Mus musculus: one gene and its partner. The protein of the gene in region 2 binds, or shares a complex with, the protein of the main gene of each other region. Links are inferred from orthologs where the notes say so. Each region holds a gene or a part of one and is shown on either strand. Other genes may lie near its edges. The genes, in order: Itgb3 and Itga2b.

What was found.
Region 1: the proteins of Itga2b (region 2) and Itgb3 are in contact, whole or in part, in a cryo-EM structure (PDB 8GCE), measured with the Homo sapiens proteins. The link is inferred for Mus musculus from reciprocal best matches to the Homo sapiens genes ITGA2B and ITGB3. Residues at the interface, in NP_000410.2 of Homo sapiens: Gln49, Phe52, Arg72, Trp141, His143, Asn145, Glu152, Ala153, Glu154, Lys155, Pro157, Arg184, Phe191, Tyr197, Glu199, Phe202, Pro217, Tyr221, Phe222, Phe262, Asp263, Tyr265, Tyr268, Thr290, Trp293, Thr294, Gln315, Met316, Ala317, Tyr319; in NP_000203.2 of Homo sapiens: Ser188, Pro189, Tyr190, Tyr192, Ile193, Ser194, Pro195, Pro196, Tyr204, Asp205, Met206, Arg242, Asp243, Pro245, Lys279, His281, Ile282, Ala283, Leu284, Asp285, Arg287, Leu288, Ala289, Gly290, Val292, Gln293, Pro294, Asn295, Asp314, Tyr315.

What each region holds. Positions count from the first base shown.
Region 1 is NC_000077.6:104,638,793-104,642,598, reverse strand, and holds part of Itgb3 (integrin beta-3 precursor), read right to left. Parts: intron 2,308-3,806; coding exon 2,212-2,307; intron 1,599-2,211; coding exon 1,509-1,598; intron 416-1,508; coding exon 281-415; intron 1-280. UniProt on the Homo sapiens protein: Integrin alpha-V/beta-3 (ITGAV:ITGB3) is a receptor for cytotactin, fibronectin, laminin, matrix metalloproteinase-2, osteopontin, osteomodulin, prothrombin, thrombospondin, vitronectin and von Willebrand factor.
Region 2 is NC_000077.6:102,467,000-102,471,344, forward strand, and holds the start of Itga2b (integrin alpha-IIb precursor), read right to left. Parts: upstream 2,885-4,345; 5' UTR 2,714-2,884; coding exon 2,526-2,713; intron 903-2,525; coding exon 781-902; intron 692-780; coding exon 594-691; intron 491-593; coding exon 328-490; intron 105-327; coding exon 55-104; intron 1-54. UniProt on the Homo sapiens protein: Integrin alpha-IIb/beta-3 is a receptor for fibronectin, fibrinogen, plasminogen, prothrombin, thrombospondin and vitronectin. It recognizes the sequence R-G-D in a wide array of ligands.

The DNA of each region.
Region 1 (3,806 bases), about 2.2 Mb from region 2:
AGAAAAGAAAAGCATTACCCTGGGTGATGAGATAGGTTAAGAGATATTTTCACTTTCAATCAGACGTGCAAACACAGAAAACCAAAATAGACATTTTAAGAAAAAATAAATAATAGGTTTCCTTGGCAGCTCTAGAAACCTTAAGCATCCGAAGCTTCACGGGCAAAGATTGACAACCCTACTACCCTAACACCTAATTCTGGAAAGGGTCAGGATGCACACAGATCTCGGGGCCCATGGTCAGAGTCTCAGCATCAGTCCCTCCCCTAGCCCACCTCACCGTGTCTCCAATCTTGAGGCCCACACAAGACTTGAGGCCCGGGATAACCTCGTTGTTGAGGCAGGTGGCATTGAAGGACAGTGACAGTTCTTCCGGCAGGTCACGTACTTCCAGCTCCACTTTAGAGCGGATTTTCTGAGCAGAAGAGGGTAAAGGAAGGTTAGGGCACTGACAAAAGCCAAGTCCATCCACACAAAGCCAAGCCAGTGGCCTTGGACTTGCCCTGAGGTTTACCTGGCAGTTGCTGCCATGGAGGCTCTATGCTCGGTCACCTCTTTTGTATGTGGCTGAGACCTGGCTTTCCCTCACTCTGCCCTACAGCTGCATTCTTGGGCATCGAATCCCCATTTGCAGCCTCCTCCTCCTCTAAGCTCCCCACATGCCGTTCCTGTTCCTCCCTGGCCTTCCTTTCTGGCCCATTTCTGAAGGTGCCATTCATTACTCCCAAGGCTGGCCACCATCTACCTCTGGGAGCATAAAGGAAACGCAGTAAGACCATACAGGAGAATGGCAGATGGCTCCCAAATCCGAGCTCTGTTAGAACATGGGCCTGCACCTTTAGGAGTGACCCCACAGCCTGAGTCCCTGCAGCTGTCTTTGGGACAGAGAGTTCCAAGACAATTTGTGCTCTGACTTGACTGTTCTCAATGTATATAGTACCTCCTGGCTTCTCTGTGTGTGATGTTCAACCAAACCATATGATTGGAAACTTCCCGCCACTCCTAAAGCGTATACAGAGCTGGAGCCTCCCTTTGTTCTAGGGATTGGTCTTAGACTCAGCAAGAAGATTGGGTTTGGAGATAAAGGTTGCTCATTGGAGAGGCTCCTTGGGCCTCCCCTCCCACTGCTATCATGGAAGTTTGTCCTGTATCTCTGTCTTCCTCTCTCTCTCTCTTTCTCTCTCTCTCTCCTTTCTCTCTCTCTCTCTCCTTCTCTGAACCTCTCACTCTCTTAATGAAGCTCCTCTTCAGGCTCTACAGGGAAGCCTCTTGTCACCTTTAAGGTCCTATTATGTTCAGTCCCCCTATTATATTGTTTGTATCTAATATTCTCCCACCCACAGGTCCAAGCACGGCTTTTTGATATAATTTCCTTCCTGAAGGAAATTTATGTGTCTGTTTTCTGCCGTAGACCACAACATCCCTCTTGTACTTCTTTTTTTAAAAAGCGCTGATGAGTAAGCTTCGTCCAGCAGACGCACCAGGGCCTCCTGGGCCAGCATTCTTACCCCGTAAGCATCAACAATGAGCTGGAGGACGTTGCTTGAGTCATCAGACAGGACTCCCACTGTGGTCCCAGGAATGAGCTCACTATAATTCTAGAAAGGAAGACAAAGATGTCCACAGCGTCCTGAAGAAAGTGGTCTCCTCCTCAGGTCCTCCTTCGTCAGACTGGCAGCGGTTGTTTGTTTGTTTCTTTCTTTCTTTGTTTTTGGGAGACAAGGTTGCACTGTGCAACCCTGGCTGTCCTGGAACTTGCTCTGTAGACCAGGAAGCCTCAAACTCAAGAGATCTGCCTGCCTCTGCCTCTGCCTCTGCCTCCCAAGTGCTGGGATTAATGACATGCACCACTACCGCCCAACTGGCAGTCTTAAAATTAAGTTTGGAGGGCACTGTGAAGTATCTTACTTGTTACTACCAAAACAGATCTAGCATATTTTCATATCTAAGAAACATTATTTAAAAAACAAAAACCTTTTTCTACCCCTCCCCCCACTGAGTCACCTCCGCCGCCATTGCAAACCACCACAGGTTTCCTTATAGGTGAGAGGTTGAAGGGAAAAGGCTACAGGGAGGAATGTAAGCAGCCTGGAGAATGAGTTTAAAAGGATTTTTTTCCTGGTTGGGTCCCTGGCTAGTGAAAGCAGGAGCTGGCCACCGGGGTCAGGTCCCACCTATGGTGACAAGAGAGAAGCCCAGAGCCCTAATTACCTGGTAAAGGCTGACGACATTTTCAGTCACTGCAAAGATCAAGTTAATGTTTTTCTGGGATAGTTTCTCAGTCATCAGCCCCAGAGATGGGTAGTCCTGAAAACGGGGAAAAGGTGAAGGTTAATAGACACGTCTCACAGGCATCCCTGGATTCTACGCCTTTGAGGCTGTCTTATTTGGGGTATGACCAAAGCAATGTGAAACTTTGATTTTACCCACTAATCAAAGTGAGTGTTATGGTTTGGGTGTGGCTTCAGCAAACCCCTCAGGTTTCGTGAGCTGAAACTGATTTCCCCCTGTGAGATGCTGAGACAGTGGACACACACACACACACACACACACACACACACACCGCTAAGGTATTTAGGGTAAAGTCTTTGGGAAGTAAGGAGAATTAGAAGGCCCCAGAGTTGAATCTCACTAGCTTAACAAAAGAAAACCAATGAAGACAGAAACCCACACGCATGCTCCCTGTCCTCCGGACTCACGCATGCTCCCTGACCTCCTGCCTCAGGACCGCCTGAGTCTTGGGACTCAGCCAGCCGTGATCATCACCAGATGCTGTCCCTCAAATTCACAAGTTCTAAAAACAAAACGAAAGCTCTTTTCCAACTTACTGTGTCTGTGCTATTGTATCATTAGCAACAGAAAATGGCGCAGTGCCTGAGTGAAAGGGTAAAAAGTCCCAGAAGCTCGGCTATGAACCCTGGGCTGGTGGCTCCAAAACCAAGCACCTTCCTTCCCGCTCAGGCTCAAAACATCTCCATGGGCTGGGCCCCACTGTTGTGGAATTACGGGCAAATGCCCTAACCTCGCTCTACTGGTCACCTGCCACATGATCTCAGCCTCACTGTCCAAATGTCACTCACCCCTACGCCTGCCTCTTCTCCTCAGCACTGACCTGGCTCATTTCTCCTGTTACCTGTCATCTTGGTAATCCTCCTCCTTCCTTAGCCTAAGCTCACCTCCTCCAGGAAGCCCTCCTTGACCACCCCAGCTTCTAAGAGCTTTCCTCCTTCAACTGCCAATAGCCCTTGACTGTGTCACCCACCCAATTAGTGTACATCATGAGTTCCATGCTATTAATACTGTGTAGGGATAAATCCTCTCTCTTCATCTAAACCTCCTAAGAGTAGGTAGGTCCTTATAGCTGTTTCATCTCTCACAGCTCCAGCTCAGTGCTCTGGGTAGACTAGTGTCAAAGTTTGCTGACTTACCCATTGTCTGACATTGCTCAGCTTGGATGTGGTTAATACCAAGGAAGTGGAGAGACCAGGAAACAGTACGAGTCATGACTATGTCCGTGGAAACCTAGACCTTGTGAGGGAGCTCATGAGATCTCCAGTCAAGTGTCCTGCCTTTGATCATTTACAGGTGGTTCCTCTATTTATTGACTTTAAAAAACAGAGTAGGCTGGAGTGGCTTGGTAGTTAGGTAATATCTAACATACTGTAAGATACTGGGTTCAGCCTCCAGACCAGAAAAAAAAATAACAGGCATGGTAGCTCAGACTCCTAATCGCAACACTCAGAAGGCAGAGGCAGAAGGATTGCAAGGTAAAGGCCAGCCTGGGCTGCATATAGAATGAGAGAGAC
Region 2 (4,345 bases):
CCCTGTCTCAACCATCAAGCTGAGCTCTCTTGTTTGCTTTTGCCTGTGACTTGCCTGGGTCACCGCCAAGCTGAAGCCTGCTTCACAGTATCGCTTGTCTCCGCCTACAAGAGGCAAGCGGGGATCAGCCAAGGGGAGGTCCCCCGAATGTGCGCTTAAGCCAAGAGCCCCGCGTGGGCAGGGGGAACTATGCAGAGCCCGGAGGACATGGAGGCGGGGCCCAGGGGCGTGGTGTAGCGGAGGGGCGGGCCCCCGGGGCCCGAGGTCCTTGGTGGGGCGGGGTTGGCAGCGATCAGTGGGCGGAGCGAATGGCAAACCAGAGCTTACGAAAACTCTCTGCGTAAACGGAGCTCATGGTGTTGGCGCGACAGGGCGAGTACTCTGCGCGGCCCCCGCTTTGGAGCTGAGCCAAGAAGCAGCCTCCTACCGGAGTCTTCTCTGCCTCATCGCGCTTTTCCAGGACATTCCAGTGCTGCCAGGGGGCACAGGCCTAGAGCAGACCCACAGGAGAGTAGGGAAGGGGGCTTATTCGGGCTTCCCCCAACGTGTCCCTACCCTGGATTTGCTCCCTTTGACTTGTCCACAGTACCCACCACAATGACGTCATTCCAGCTGACGACCGACGCCCCAAGTCCTTGCCCGGTCTTGAAGGTTTGGAAAATTTGGAAGCCTAGGTTTCGTGTCTCATCCCCTGGAGGGCACAAGTAAAGGTGGAGCTCTGGAGCCCGGCCATCCATTTCCACCTGGGGACCCCCTTTCCCCTTCATTCTTGAGACTCACTGAGGTCGAAGAGCAACGGGTTGCACTTGCCACCATTGGCCTTCCAGGGGCACAGGAATACGGCTCCAGTCTCCTCTTGACTTGCGTTTAGGGCCCTGGGGGCGCCCACCACGATGGACACGCTGTGTAGGAAAGCTGGATGAGCACAGGTTATGGCCTTTCTATCCTGCCCGGTGCCCACTGCCCCAGCAGTACCTGGAAGGAGGCGTGGCATAGGAAAAACTGGACCACCTTTCCTCACAGATAGTCCTTTGAGGACAACCTCTTCATTTTAGCTGAAAGTGGATTCTTAGGAAATTAACCTGAGACTAAACCAGTTGGTTTGGTTTGGATGGGAAGGCTTTAATAATCCTTACTGAAAAGACCTGTTATGCTTCCTTTGTACACCGATTTCCCTCACCCTCACTCCCTCCCAACAAGAACCAGACAAAATGTCTGCCTGTCAAACTTCTAGAGAGATCCCTTAGCTAGACCTGGTTGAAAGGGGGAAGGCCGGGGAGAGCTCACTGGGATGTACGGTACTGACAGGGTTGAGGAGCCTAGCAGATCTCTGTTTAAATCAGGCCTGCCATATGTAAAATGGAGGTAATGACAACCAATGTTGCTGTTGGAAGAGTAAATGCAATAATTGTATGAGAGGTATTTAGTATGATCCGGCAACATGCTTTTGTAAACGTGTGCGTTAATAAACACACAGGATGCTTATTAAATCGTGCCCATGTGACCAGACCTTGGGGAATGAAGCAGGAGACCGGAAGAAAAGAAAGGAGTTGAACAGAGGCACTCAGGAGCTCTGATGCCAGGAGGGTTTCGTTTGGTTGGTTTTGTCTATTTGTTTTGAGATAGGCTCTCTCTATGTAGCTCTGGCTGTCCCGGAGGAAACTCACTATTTGGATTAGCAGGCTGGCTCTGCCTAACTCTGCTTTCCAGTAAAGGAGATTGGTTAAAGGTGTCTGTCATGACACCCATCAGGAATTCTATGTATTTATTCTGATGGAGTCTTGTTATGTGGCCCTGGCTATTTAACTTGTGGTAGTTCTCCTGCCTCAGCTTCCAAGTCCTGGGTTTGCAAGCACATGTTACCACACTCAGCTAGAGAAGTGCCCTTTAGAATCATTAGAATTGAGGCAACCCTGGGTTCTTCCCCATCACGAATAGTCTCTGCGTGCAAGCCATCTTGGGAAGGGGACCTGATTTTTGATGAAGTGGCTCTCTCAGGCAGAAGAAATAATTTCTTGCAGCTGTCTTTGAGAATAATTACTATTCCCCAGTCCTGGGCAATCCAGTGTCCATCTCAATAAGTCACTCAGGATAAACACAGCTATGTAGATGAGCCAGGAGTCTGACCTCAAAGCCTGATCCATACTGACTGTTAGTAATCTAATACTTCTTTTCAAACATCTGTAATTTGGAAGGAGGTGAGGCATGGAACGGAGGAAAGCAAGGTGTACCAGGTAGGTACTTGTAGCTTTGCCAGTCAGTTTAGGGTGAGGGGAGGGAGGTAAAGCCGGTCACATCACTGACACTTGGGGAAAAGGAAAAAGGAAGACATCAGCTTTAAACTTTTGTGCTCATCTCCCCATTGCTATCTCTCCCCAGTACCCACCCTGGAAACGGTCCTCCATTGACAGGAGCTCCACTCAGACCGGAGAACTGACCTTGCTCATCTAGGTACTGAGAGAGTCCACAGGAGCAATTCGAGGGTGCAGACCTCTCTTAACGCCCATATGTCCTTTAGCGCTCACCTTCCATGTTTGTCCTTATGAAAGTCCACTGAGAAGCCAAAGTGGCTGCCATTGGGACCTGCATAGACGGAGAACTTCTCAGAGTCCAGGTTCAAGGCCCAGACTGGAGGAACAGCACTAGGACCCAAGAACAGTGGTGTCCACTGCAGAAGCCACAGGGAATGCCATGCGCAGGAGGCTCTGGCCATCTTCCTTCTTCCCAAACGTCCTAAACAGGAATGGGCCAGCTCTTTCCCTTTCCCTGAAGTTCCCACCACCGGAAGTTTCAGCTTATCAGACTGGAGCTCATGGCTGAGCAGCAGGCATGGCAGAGGGCAATAGCCTCTAGACGTCGACTAGGACGGGGGAGGGCCCACCCCGGGGATGGATGCTGATGGCTGGAAGTCACTGCTTCCCCTTCCTCTCCAGGAAAGCTCACCTCCATGTCCTGTTGTCTCTGTTTCTCAGCCACAAGCCCGGCAATCCCCTTTCTCTTTCTCTTCCTCTGTCACTGTGAAAGTCCAGCCACCATCCCTTTCTGCCTGGGAAAGTATAACCATGAATTCGCTGCCTGGCTCACTTTGCCATGGCCCACAGTTGTACAGCTCTTACCTCCCCCATGCAGCTGACCATCCTGCTCTTGAATGCTGTGATGTGGCCAAGGGGAGAGGAAGGAGTAAGCAAGCTGTTCTCCCCTGATAAGACCAGAGGCTGTCATCATTTTGAGTAGGACATTTACCCACTTCCTCCCCCATGAGCCTTTGGGCAGCCTCAGCCGGTTGCATTTGACCATCACTTTCCTCACGTCTCCATCTTGAACCAAGTCTTAGTGTGGTTACACTGGAGCCTTCAATACTGGGCAGAGGGGTGATGAATGGGTCTTGGCCTAAGTGGGGGGAGATGGAGCTAAAAGGACATCATTCTGAGGTGCGGCGTTCACAGTCCTCGAGGTTGAGCACCAGCTGTTCAAGTGAACAGCTTTGCTCCTTTTTGGTTGACAGTATCTACATAAATAAAATAGATTGAAAGATAGCTAGAATAGAACCTTCCAGAACTGTTTGTGGACGGAGTCACTGACTAGGAGAAACCTCGTGAGTCCTCAGGATGGCACCATGGCATACACACACATGGGCATGGTACCTGATGGCACTTTTTACTGGGTTGAGTACCCGAGTCCTTTGAGAGCAAGGGTTCTTTCTGCTGTCCTAGGGCCTAGCCCACAGCCCAGCATGTAGTGCTGCTGAAAGGCTGAATCTGAAGTCTTCCTAAAGGATGGAAGGAGTAAACAAAGTGAGGAGGGTCAGATTCTGCGTAGAAATATTCTTCTCGGGCTGGAGAGATGATGGCTCAGTGGTTAAGGGCACTGACTATTCTTCCGAAGGTCCTGAGTTCAAATCCCAGCAACCACATGGTGGCTCACAACCATCCATAATGAGATCTGACACCCTCTTCTGGTGTGTATGAAGACAGCTACAGTGTATTTACATATAATAAATAAATAAGTCTTTAAAAAAAAAGATCCTTCTCTATGGGGGTAGGGGGCAGAGAGCAGAAGAGCACCACGCATGCCCTGATGGTCTTGCTTGCCTTTTGCCCCAAGGCAAAGGGTCGTAGGACTATAGCCACACCCTCCTTTAAGTCTTTTCTTTTTTCCCCTCCTTTTCTGCAGTGCTAGGGATAGCCTTTCGAATGCAGGACAAGTGCTCTACCATGAAGCCATGTCCCCTCCATCTTTATTTCCATGAATTAACCACTGCCTTATCCTACTTTACCACTCTCCCCTCTTCTGAAGCACTCCTAACTCTTCCCTTCCTCGCATGCCTCCCCTTAGCACACAGCCT